Linked DNA regions of Tribolium castaneum. The protein of the gene in region 3 interacts with the protein of the main gene of each other region in a pairwise test. Links are inferred from orthologs where the notes say so. Each region holds a gene or a part of one and is shown on either strand. Other genes may lie near its edges.

Evidence for each region.
Region 1: the proteins of Rab2 (region 3) and TBC1D16 interact in a two-hybrid assay, tested with the Drosophila melanogaster proteins (2 studies listed by BioGRID). The link is inferred for Tribolium castaneum from reciprocal best matches to the Drosophila melanogaster genes Rab2 and TBC1D16.
Region 2: the proteins of Rab2 (region 3) and Vps39 interact in a two-hybrid assay, tested with the Drosophila melanogaster proteins (2 studies listed by BioGRID). The link is inferred for Tribolium castaneum from reciprocal best matches to the Drosophila melanogaster genes Rab2 and Vps39.

What each region holds. Positions count from the first base shown.
Region 1 is NC_087399.1:11,383,340-11,387,000, reverse strand, and holds part of TBC1D16 (TBC1 domain family member 16), read left to right. Parts: intron 1-1,309; coding exon 1,310-1,846; intron 1,847-3,661.
Region 2 is NC_087402.1:12,345,276-12,348,227, reverse strand, and holds part of Vps39 (vam6/Vps39-like protein), read left to right. Parts: intron 1-1,404; coding exon 1,405-1,839; intron 1,840-2,952. UniProt on the Drosophila melanogaster protein: Part of the homotypic fusion and vacuole protein sorting (HOPS) tethering complex involved in endo-lysosomal vesicle trafficking and lysosome biogenesis.
Region 3 is NC_087396.1:10,630,750-10,634,528, forward strand, and holds Rab2 (ras-related protein Rab-2), read left to right. Parts: upstream 1-1,466; 5' UTR 1,467-1,586; coding exon 1,587-1,632; intron 1,633-1,861; coding exon 1,862-2,177; intron 2,178-2,233; coding exon 2,234-2,414; intron 2,415-2,639; coding exon 2,640-2,738; 3' UTR 2,739-3,262; downstream 3,263-3,779. Other genes in the region: Fcp1 (RNA polymerase II subunit A C-terminal domain phosphatase), read left to right, coding at 3,382-3,599, 3,651-3,779. UniProt on the Drosophila melanogaster protein: May be involved in bidirectional endoplasmic reticulum (ER) to Golgi trafficking. Together with Rab7 involved in promoting fusion of autophagosomes and endosomes with lysosomes, probably through recruitment of the HOPS tethering complex.

The DNA.
Region 1 (3,661 bases), on a different chromosome or scaffold from region 3:
CAAAGTAAATCAAGTTTACACTATAAGTACACTATAAATGGGATCTCTGTTCGTTTAGGAGATATAGTACTTAATGTACTCAAAAACACGTAATTTCTTGCGTAAGCCGGCCGATCACGTACATTAAGTACTGTATCTCCTAAAGGAATAGAGATCCCATTTTGCGACTTATAGTGTAAAATCTAGATATTCTAAGCTATTTTTTGAAATAAAAATAAATTTAAAAAATGGTCCAAATTACTAAAATTCGGATTTGAAACTTCACTTCCGGTTTTCTTCGCGAAAAAAATTTCAAATTCTAAATTAGGTTTCAAAATCAAATATGAAACACTATTTTAAATATTTTGGTCTGCATCAGTTTTTTGAATAAAAGCTTCCAAAAACTCTGTGTCTCATATTTTGTTAAATTTTTAGAAGTCATTATCTTCACAAATAAGTGTCATACAAAAAAATCCTGAATATAACCGAATTTAAAGATGTCAATTTTTTTGTTGTCCGCTTCGCGTGAAACGCCCCAAATAACAATTTTTTTAGCTCAAAAACGTGCTTTAACTTTCGAAAAAGGTAAACATCATACGAAATTTTTTAACTAATTTGGTATTTTCTCGAACGTTTAAATTTACTCGTAAACACCCTTCTTAGCATTGTTTTTGATGGTACGTCCTTCAAATTTTTTCTTTAATTCTTTTTTTTAAACCGTCTGTAGATCTAAAATCCAGCTTCCATCCTTTTCTTTAGATTATTTTATAAATCCATCATCATAATTCTATAAACGAATTTGTCCCAATGTATCTTTAGAATTATCACCAAAATATTTGAAACAATATTCTTTAAAAATGCCTGACATGCTCTTTACCACGTTTTTGGATAATATTAAAAGAGTCTAAAGGTTCTCCAAATATTCTAAGAATTCACCCAAATTAAGAAAAAATCACTAAATTGACAACACTAAGGGCCGGTTTATAGAAAGCTCAATTAAAGTTAATTGGGATGTTAAGTGTTAACAACGCGAATGAAGCAACCCAATGGATTCATTTAATTGCATTTAATTGCAGATTAAATTAATGAAGCTTCTATAAACCGCTCCTTAATCTAGTTCTATCAACTTATTTGTTTGTTGTAAAAAGAAATAAATAAACAACATTTTTATTGCATTTTATTTTGAAAATCCTGGTAAATATCAAATGCTGTTGGTTGGGACAACTACATTCCAACCATAAATTTCCACGATTTTTGCAGAGCCTTCGACTGTGAAAAATAGTGGGTCCAACTTCTCAACCAAGTAATAAATAAAAAATGTTATTTGCAGAACGTCCAGCAAGTATCGAACTCAAAAGCACGAACCCGTTCCTAAACTACGACACCACCGATTCCCTCAGTTCCGAAGACAGTGACAAGCAAGGCACTATCATCAACATCAACGTCGACATCGCAAATCCCGACATAGAAATCGTTACAACTCCAGACAGCGTCAAAGATTCCGGCGAAAAATTCGAATTTTCCCGCTCCGGCAGTGTTACTTCAAACGACAGCCAATTGAATTGGATCACAACACCGGAATTTCTCGCCCAAAAGCATAATTTGATGTTCCCCGAAAGCAACAACTGTTCGCCAATTTTACCAACAAAACAGCTACATAAATGCAGGAGGTTCAGTGTTGATTTGAGCCAAATGAGGTCACTGAGACTGTTTTTCAACGATGCAAATTGCACGTGTGGACAACTTGTTGTGGCTTCGAGGGAATCGCAATACAAAATTTTGCACTTCCATCACGGAGGGTTGGACCACTTGGCGCAAGTGTTGCATCAGTGGCATTCTTTGCTGCATAATATCAAACATGCCAAAGGTAACGCACAAAATTGGATCTAAACTTATTTAAACAATGTAATAAGTGAAGAGCTTGAATTTTGCGTTTTTTCCTTAAGCTGGTCCATGCGGGGTCCAAACAACAAAGAAAAAAAAGTATGTAGGCGGAGGACACCCAGCCAGAATTTGATTTGTGACAACAACCAGTTTTAGGAAAGGATTTCATTTATAAAGTAATTTAATCATCGGACCGATGTAGTTGTGTTCAATAATAATCGCGCTCGATATGGAATATAATGTTAATGTTAAGAATCTAGATCGAGTGAAACTTTCCTCATCCTAAATACCTTTTCTGGTATTAATTTGATATTAAATATTGTGTTTTAACTCTACGTAATGATATGAACTTTACAGCTCTCACAATTAGATGTAAAAAATTCGTTTTTACTACATAACTTCGGAACCATTTAACAAATGTTATAAAATTTGGCATCTTTTTCAAGTTACATTTTTTGCATTTTCGTTTGTATCTCACTTAGATATCTTAGTTTAACCCTTTACAGAGCGAAATATATCGTTTCAAGGTCATTTTAGTTCAAATTAAAAGCTACATGAAGCAGAAAGTATGTGATTTTTGAGTAAACGATATTCTTAACAACGAAAGTAAATAGTGTAAATAAGTTAGCTTTGAAAGTTTTTAAAATCTGTTAATTATTCACTTAAATTAAATTTGTGAAGTTCTGATACTAGTCCAGAAACAGAGTATCGAGACTAATAATACTTTCTTTTAATAAAAAATATCCAGTTTAGTTCAGTTCCATACTGCGCTTGTGCCAAGTGTCAAATTTAAAAAATGAATTAGTACTATTAGTACTACCAAAAGGTACACTAAAAGCACGGCTTACCAACCTAACAACTTTACAGCTGTATACGTTATCCTAGTGAAAACATAATATGTAATACTAATGAATAATAAAACAAAGAACAATAAATAAAACGAATGTAAATTCAACACAAGAGCTCTTCTTTGATTTTTGTTCGATTGATTTGTTCCGAAAATTTAATAAAAATTCCACTTATTTCGTTGGCCCGGTTTTTGGTACTTCAGTTGAAGTTATGTCTTCGTTAAAATATAGGGTCATTTTTTAAAAACGAGCCTCCATGAATATATCAGAAATTAAGCAGAAAATTCAAAAATCCCAAAACAGGTCAATTTTTAGTGAATTTTTAAAGGTTGTAGCACCAACCCCCTTTGTGATACAATCAAACCCTTTAAAATTTTAAATGGCATCACCCCCTTTGTGACACCTTAGGTGAAGGTATTTTGGCCAGGATTTCGGCCGTGTAATTTTTTTAGAGTTTTCAGTATTTTTATTTACATTATACAGAACAAGATATAGCAGAACAAATTATTGTAAAAGTTACTTATGAATTTTAAACGTAATATGCCGCTAAATCGGAATTGTGATTTTTGTCAGAAGCGATGGAAAAAGGCTTCAAAGAAAGTAAACACGAGAATGTAAAACACAAATCAAGATAAAGCCCACAATTGAAACAACATTGCCGAGAAATACATAAAAATGAGGAAACAACTAATCAAAAATTTGACAGCGTTTACAACACCGGCACATTGAATTTAAATTCCATAGTCGACTTTTTGATAAAGAAGCATTTTTGAACAGTGGATTATCAGGTAATTAAGTACCATGTAAATTTATAAAAAATTATTGAAACTCAAAAAAAAACACACAGTCGAATTTCTGGTCGAAATACCTTTCATTTAAAAGGGGGTCATGCCATTTAAAATTTTAAAGGGGTTGTTTGTATTACAAAGGAGGTTGATGTTACAACTTTC
Region 2 (2,952 bases), on a different chromosome or scaffold from region 3:
GGAAAAACGCTTTTTTCTTAATTTTAATCCGCATACAAGATTTGATTATATCATGTCACATCATTGTAATCAGGAACAGAAAGAGTTTTTAAATAAACAAATGTCAAATATGGCGTCAATAAGAAAAATCAAAGTTGAGTGTTGTAACTCTGCCATCAAGAATGCCATGGAAAAGGCAATGACAATTACAATTTCTTGTAAAAAAGTGCCCGAGGAATGTCCTACTTAAAAACATCTATCTTGTTTGATTCTTGTATAAAAAAATAAAAACAAAAATAAGATTTTTTTTATTTTTCTCAATAATTGAAAAACTAAAAGTGACACATTAAATTTTCTTTCAGATAATTGTTCAGCATAAAAATGCGCAACTTTCCCTAATTTAACCGACCTCGTATATCTTATAATAACTGGAGCTCGAAAAACGGACACCTTGTATTAATTATAATTAATAGCACCAAAATTTAAACGGTGACCCCCAGTTTTTTTTTCCTAAAATACTTATTAGATGTTGCTGAATGTTGATTTAGTGTTTTATGAAAATCTTAAGGAGGGTTTTTATACCAGAAGAGTTTTAGCGAAACGTTTTGAGTGATACGTTAAACGTGAACGTCTTAGATTCTTTATCGTACGTTTTTAAATTAAATTATTGGCAAAACGTGGAGCCTTTTACATCAAAATGATTTGACGAATACTTTACTTCTGATTGTAATTTCTTACAGATTCTAATCAAGAACTGCTCTTAAAAGTGTTAACTCGTCTTTATTGCACCAAAGACGAAGTTTACAAATTTGTCACAATTTTCATAACATTTCACATATAATATATACGACAAGTAAGACGAAAAGACGTAATACGTCTTTTCAATAAATTTCACGTGAACGTTAAAAGTTTGTTTCTTTCATAACGAGCGAATAACGGAGGACCCGTTAAAACTCTCTAATGAAAACTAAACTAAAACTAAAACTAGACGGTCGATCAGTTTTATTTTCGGAACATTCGATGCGGGATTCTTTGAACAATAATGTATTAAAATTTAAAAAAGTCTTAAGAAAATGAATTTAGGCACCAACTACCTTAATATGAATGTTCCTGTGTTTTTATAGGAACATCAGAACAGTAAAGAAAAGAACATTGTCAATAGACGATTTAAACAAAACTCGTTGCACTAGTAATTTGAATCTTAAATATCCGATGTTTGAAAGATTAGATACAAATCCAAAAATAAAAAATAAGTTATTGATAATTTATTTATGTGCAGTATAATCCTGACCAGGTCCAATGAACTGACCTTTGTGTCCATTGTTTTTAATTTAATTATTTTTGTAACTTCACGCGTAATTATTATTTACACGCAATTGTATTAAAGTTTGGGGGGCAATTTGTTTATTTCTTGTGCAATTTCAGATTTTTACGGAAGACTTGGCCGAAGTTGAGGCACTGCCTCGACCTCGCGTCCTCGACTTCCTCCTCCGTTCACACACGTGTGTAGTTATTCCGTATCTTGAGCACGTGGTGCATGTTTGGGAGGACACGAATCCACTTTTTCACAACGCTTTAGTGCATCAGTATCGCGAAAAGGCGATAAGTGAGGGCGCTGCAGCCGAACACACTCGTAAAAAATTGCTCGAGTTTTTGAAAAAAAGTTCACACTATACTGCCGACACTGTCCTTGGACATTTCCCGACTGATAGTTTGTTAGAAGAGAGGGCGATAATTTTGGGACGTTTGGGAAAACACGAACAGTCTTTGGCGATTTATGTTCGAGCTTTGGGCGATGTTGCCAAAGCTGTGGAGTATGCGCAAAAAATATACGAATCTGCAACACCAGGATGTCAAAGTGTAAGTTGTTTTTTATTTTTATTGTCCTTTGGTCTCGACCAAAAAAAAAACAAAAACGTTTTCTCGCATTATAAACATTTTCGCACACTTACACCTATTATAGGGTATATCAGAAATACGAGTCTTAATTTTAACAGGTAGCAGAGCCCAACAAATAAAATGTCTTTAATTTATTAATAAAGTTTTTAAATTTACATAAAATTTAAAAAAGATGTCATAATAAAAAGATCATAATATCCAACGGAGTGCTATAATAATTACACTAAAAACCAGGGTAATTTAGTTAGATAATGTTGACAACCTAGTTTTTTGACAATTATCTGATAGAATTGTCATTGTCAATCGGTACCTGTTTTAAGTGCATAATTTAATCAAATGAATCAAATACGAATCTTTAGAGGCCCTTGTACCATCCCTAATATGTAGCCTCTTCAAACCCCTTTCGAGTAATGTACAAACATAACTTCAAAAGCCAGTGCAAGTAAGTAAGATCTTATTATCCTTAGGCCAATTTTCAAATTTCATGTATTTGCCACAAAAGCCCGTATTTGTTAAGGGGTACGTTGCAAAACTGCCACAAAATTCCCTAAATTTCGAAATTAATTTTTTTGGTAAAAAAGGTGCAAAGTAGAAAAAATACTGTATGATATCTCGTTTATAAGGCATTTTGTCGCACTTACTCCATTATCTCTGCGTGCGACAAATTGCGTCTTATAAAACTCGTATCATAATATACTATTATCGTCTTGTATAATAAATAAGTAGTAGCTGTTTCACTATTTAAGTTTACATAAGGTTGATAAAAATGTAAAATACTTATTAATGGTTTGATCTCTCATTGAAAGTATAAATTACATTAGCTACTAATTTTTTGAAGAACATAAATAATTTTTAACAACTAATTTTGAGAGAAAATGCGATGTTGGCGTTTTTGATAATATTCTCTTTTATCTTTCTTGTAAGTAAATATTATCTACGAATTCAAAAAAAGTAAAAAAAAACAAAAATAAGACACAATAAATATATTAAAAATAAAGCTTTTCTGTTGCTTAATTTTATAAGGGGTGAATTTTTCTCGTTAATTTTTTTGGGTTGAAGTATTTTCATGATTTA
Region 3 (3,779 bases):
TCAGGGAATGACATTCAGCCAGGGTTAGTCAAGCGGCATAGGAAAAACGGTTTATTAAATCATACTATCAACATGCGGCGCCACGTGCGTTATCTATGCAGATTTCTGTAAATTTAGAGTACGTGGCACGGTCGTTAATAGAAACTACTCATGCCATCTTTTGGTAGTGTGATTTCAAGTTAAATCCACGAATTTATCCAAAAATCCAAAATATTAAGCAACCTTTGGTGCGCAATGTCACACTACATTCAACGGTGTCAAAAAGTTTTTTCAATTAAATGTTTCAATTTCCAATTTGAATTATTTTGCTACGTGTTGTGTTCGTGGTTTTCTCTCTTTATTTTTATTTGGATTCGTTTGTTGGTGTTATCTACTCCTAAAGTAATCTCAAAAACATTTAAGTTTTGAACTTTCGAAGGCTAAAATTTGGTAAGTCGGGATTTTTTTGCCACCAAAAATACTATGTAATACATATCTCCAGCTCTGGTGTGGACCTATTATACATTTAAAAGGCAACCTACAACGTTTATTAAACAACTTTTGGCTGGCTGGAACACATGATTCTCGAAACAGTGCATCTCTCTACTTGTGAAAGCTATCCAGAAACAAATCGACTTGGGCACCAAAAATAACTTCGAGAATTTAAACCAAATTTCATTTTTCAAGTGGACATCTATGATGGACACCGTTTAAGACTTCTACCTTGCACATAGTGTCTTTTATTTAATACACGCGTTCATTCATTCATTTGTACAAAAGCCACAAAAACGTATCTTAACTCCCTCCTTTTTCCCGTTAAGTTTCAAGGAAACTTAGAACTCCTGAATCCACCAAAGTGGAGTCCTTACATTAAAATCAGAAAAACCTCTTACGCATAATAAGTTCATATAAGTAAATTTGTTGTAAAGTCATCTACGTGAGCCTACTACCAACACGAAAACATACAAGAAATGTTTGCACAAACTATTAAAAGCACTATTTTTCTGTGAAAATTGAATTGGGCACATGTCTAAAACTCCAATAGTACCTTATTAGGGTCCGTATTTACTTATTTAGTTCTTTAATTTTTTTCCAAGTTACAAAATAATGTTAAATAACCGTTTTTTGAGGGTGAGGAAGTCGCCAAATTAATATGTGGAAGCCAAACACGACATTTATTTCTTATAATTGATATTTTCATAATTTGTGAAACGTTAATTTATTAATAAATTATTTTCATTCATTGTATTTATTTTTTCTTTATATTTATAATACTAACAAAATTTTGCAATTAAACACATTTAACTGATTTTCAATAAAATCGGTTATGTGTGTTTAAATTGTAAAAAAATAAAAAAATTAAATTAATTGTGTAAATAATAAAATATTTAAATTTGCCGCCAATTTTAGTTCCTCATACTACCAAGATATGGCGCTATTATCGAAATTTTGACGACCAGTGAATTACGTGTTACTTGATTTTCTATAACTACTATATTCTATGCATTCAGCAGACAGCTGTCATCTTTTTACGAAGTTGATAAATTCGGTGATAAGCCGTGAAGTAATTAGAGCAAGTTGTTAGTTTATAGTTTCGTGTGGTGAAAATGTCGTACGCGTATCTGTTCAAGTACATTATAATAGGTGACACAGGTGGGTGTTGCTTCGGGTAATTCCCGTAAAAAATCATAATCGATTCGTTTAATTTTCTTGTATTTTGCGTATAACTCGTTTGTATTATTCATCTTGGATGGGTGTCAAGGTCTGTCTTTGTGTTTTAAACTTGTCCGGGATTCTGATTGGGGGAGGTGGAGTGTGTTTGGCATTCATTAAAATCAGCTTGATATGCTTATCGGACGTAAAGTAAACAATGGGGTTACAGGTGTGGGCAAGTCTTGCCTGTTACTACAGTTCACGGACAAGAGGTTCCAGCCAGTTCATGATTTGACAATCGGGGTGGAGTTTGGCGCTCGAATGATCACCATTGATGGCAAACAAATCAAATTACAAATTTGGGACACTGCCGGACAGGAGGCTTTTAGATCTATAACGCGGTCGTACTATCGGGGGGCTGCTGGCGCTCTTTTAGTTTATGACATTACGAGGAGGGAGACTTTCAACCATTTGACTACATGGCTTGATGATGCCCGCCAGCATTCCAACTCAAATATGGTCATCATGTTGATTGGAAACAAAAGGTGTTCATCCCGTTTTATTTTTTTTTTTTTCAAAAGTGTTAACTAAACCCTTCCAGTGATCTAGAGAGTAGGAGAGAAGTGAAAAAGGAAGAAGGAGAAGCTTTTGCCAGAGAACACGGACTAGTCTTTATGGAAACTTCAGCAAAAACGGCCGCCAACGTTGAAGAAGCGTTTATAAACACAGCAAAAGAGATCTATGAGAAAATACAAGAGGGAGTCTTTGACATTAACAATGAGGTAAATCAGCGGTTCTGCTCTGTTAAGCTAATTGGCATTTTCTAAAGGTTACACAAACTTTAGAAATCAATAATTTTATACATTAGCAAGTTCATTACCCCATTTTTGGTGATACTTTCTTCTGACTTTGAAATTAAGTTGGCAGCTTGAGACGTCACACGTATAGTGCTGCCAACTCAAATTCACAACTATTGTGTTTTAAATTTTGTTGTTGAAATTGTGCAGGCAAATGGAATCAAGATTGGCCCCCAACATTCCCCCACAAATCCATCGCTTCCTGGTGCAGGCGGCGCCGGGGGTTCGCAGGGTTCGAGTTGCTGTTAAGATGACTTGTCTGTCTTGAGGGTTACATTATGTGTAAGAGAGAAACCCTTATTAAAGAATTGAAAGTGACTGCACAGGTTTATTACATAAATTAATGATCTGATATCTTCCAAATTAGCAAGTTGCACTTTACCCCATCGTTCAACAACCTTTAGAGACAAAACTTTTCAAATATTTTGATACATATGGTGATATTGGCCCCCACTAATTTATGTAATGAAAGGATTATTATTGTGATTATTTTAAGAGTGTGGTATAGTTAGTCCAATACAGGTCACATATTTATTGTTTTGAGTTCATATTTTATAGAGTACCAACCGAAAAGCCGTTTCAGAAGCATTACATCTTACTTTAAACCAACTTTATTTTTGTTATTGGTGATAATAGTGTTATGTGTTTTATTGCGACTATTATACTTAATTAAGAAATGTAGTGTTTATCTCATTAAATAAATTTGTATTGTAAAACGTCAAATTTTTTATGTAAGCTTCATGTAATATAATCAAATATAAGTTGTATTGCCAGTTTGTGTTTGTTTTACCCAAAATTTGAAACGGGCGCGTGAGTAATGGCACCCGGAAGTGCACGCGTCGTCCAATCAGGCCGCGTTCTGCGTTCATGAGTGAAGTCGTTTCCGTGCAAGATGGCGGAAAAAACTATGTGCATATCACAGCAACAAACAAAACCTATAAAAATTTTAAAATGGAAAGTGAGCGAAGGGAACACTGTCTCGATCGGAAGAGTAATCCTTCTGTATGATTTTGACGGGGCTTCCAAGGTGGAACAACGCAAGTTGAAGGTAACACAGGCCGGAACAATTTTTAAGATTGTGGCGCAGGAAGGCGCCATTGTCAAGCCAGGGTAAGCAACAGTTTTGAAAAGGCGCGCGAAAGCTCACGCTCGAATTTTCAGCGAGACTTTGTGCGAATTGAAAGAATGCACGCATCCGACGGTGATGAACGACATGTGCGCAGAATGCGGCACGGATTTGAGGAAAAACGACGTCAGTGTGGCGGCTTCCGTGCCCATGGTGCATGCCAT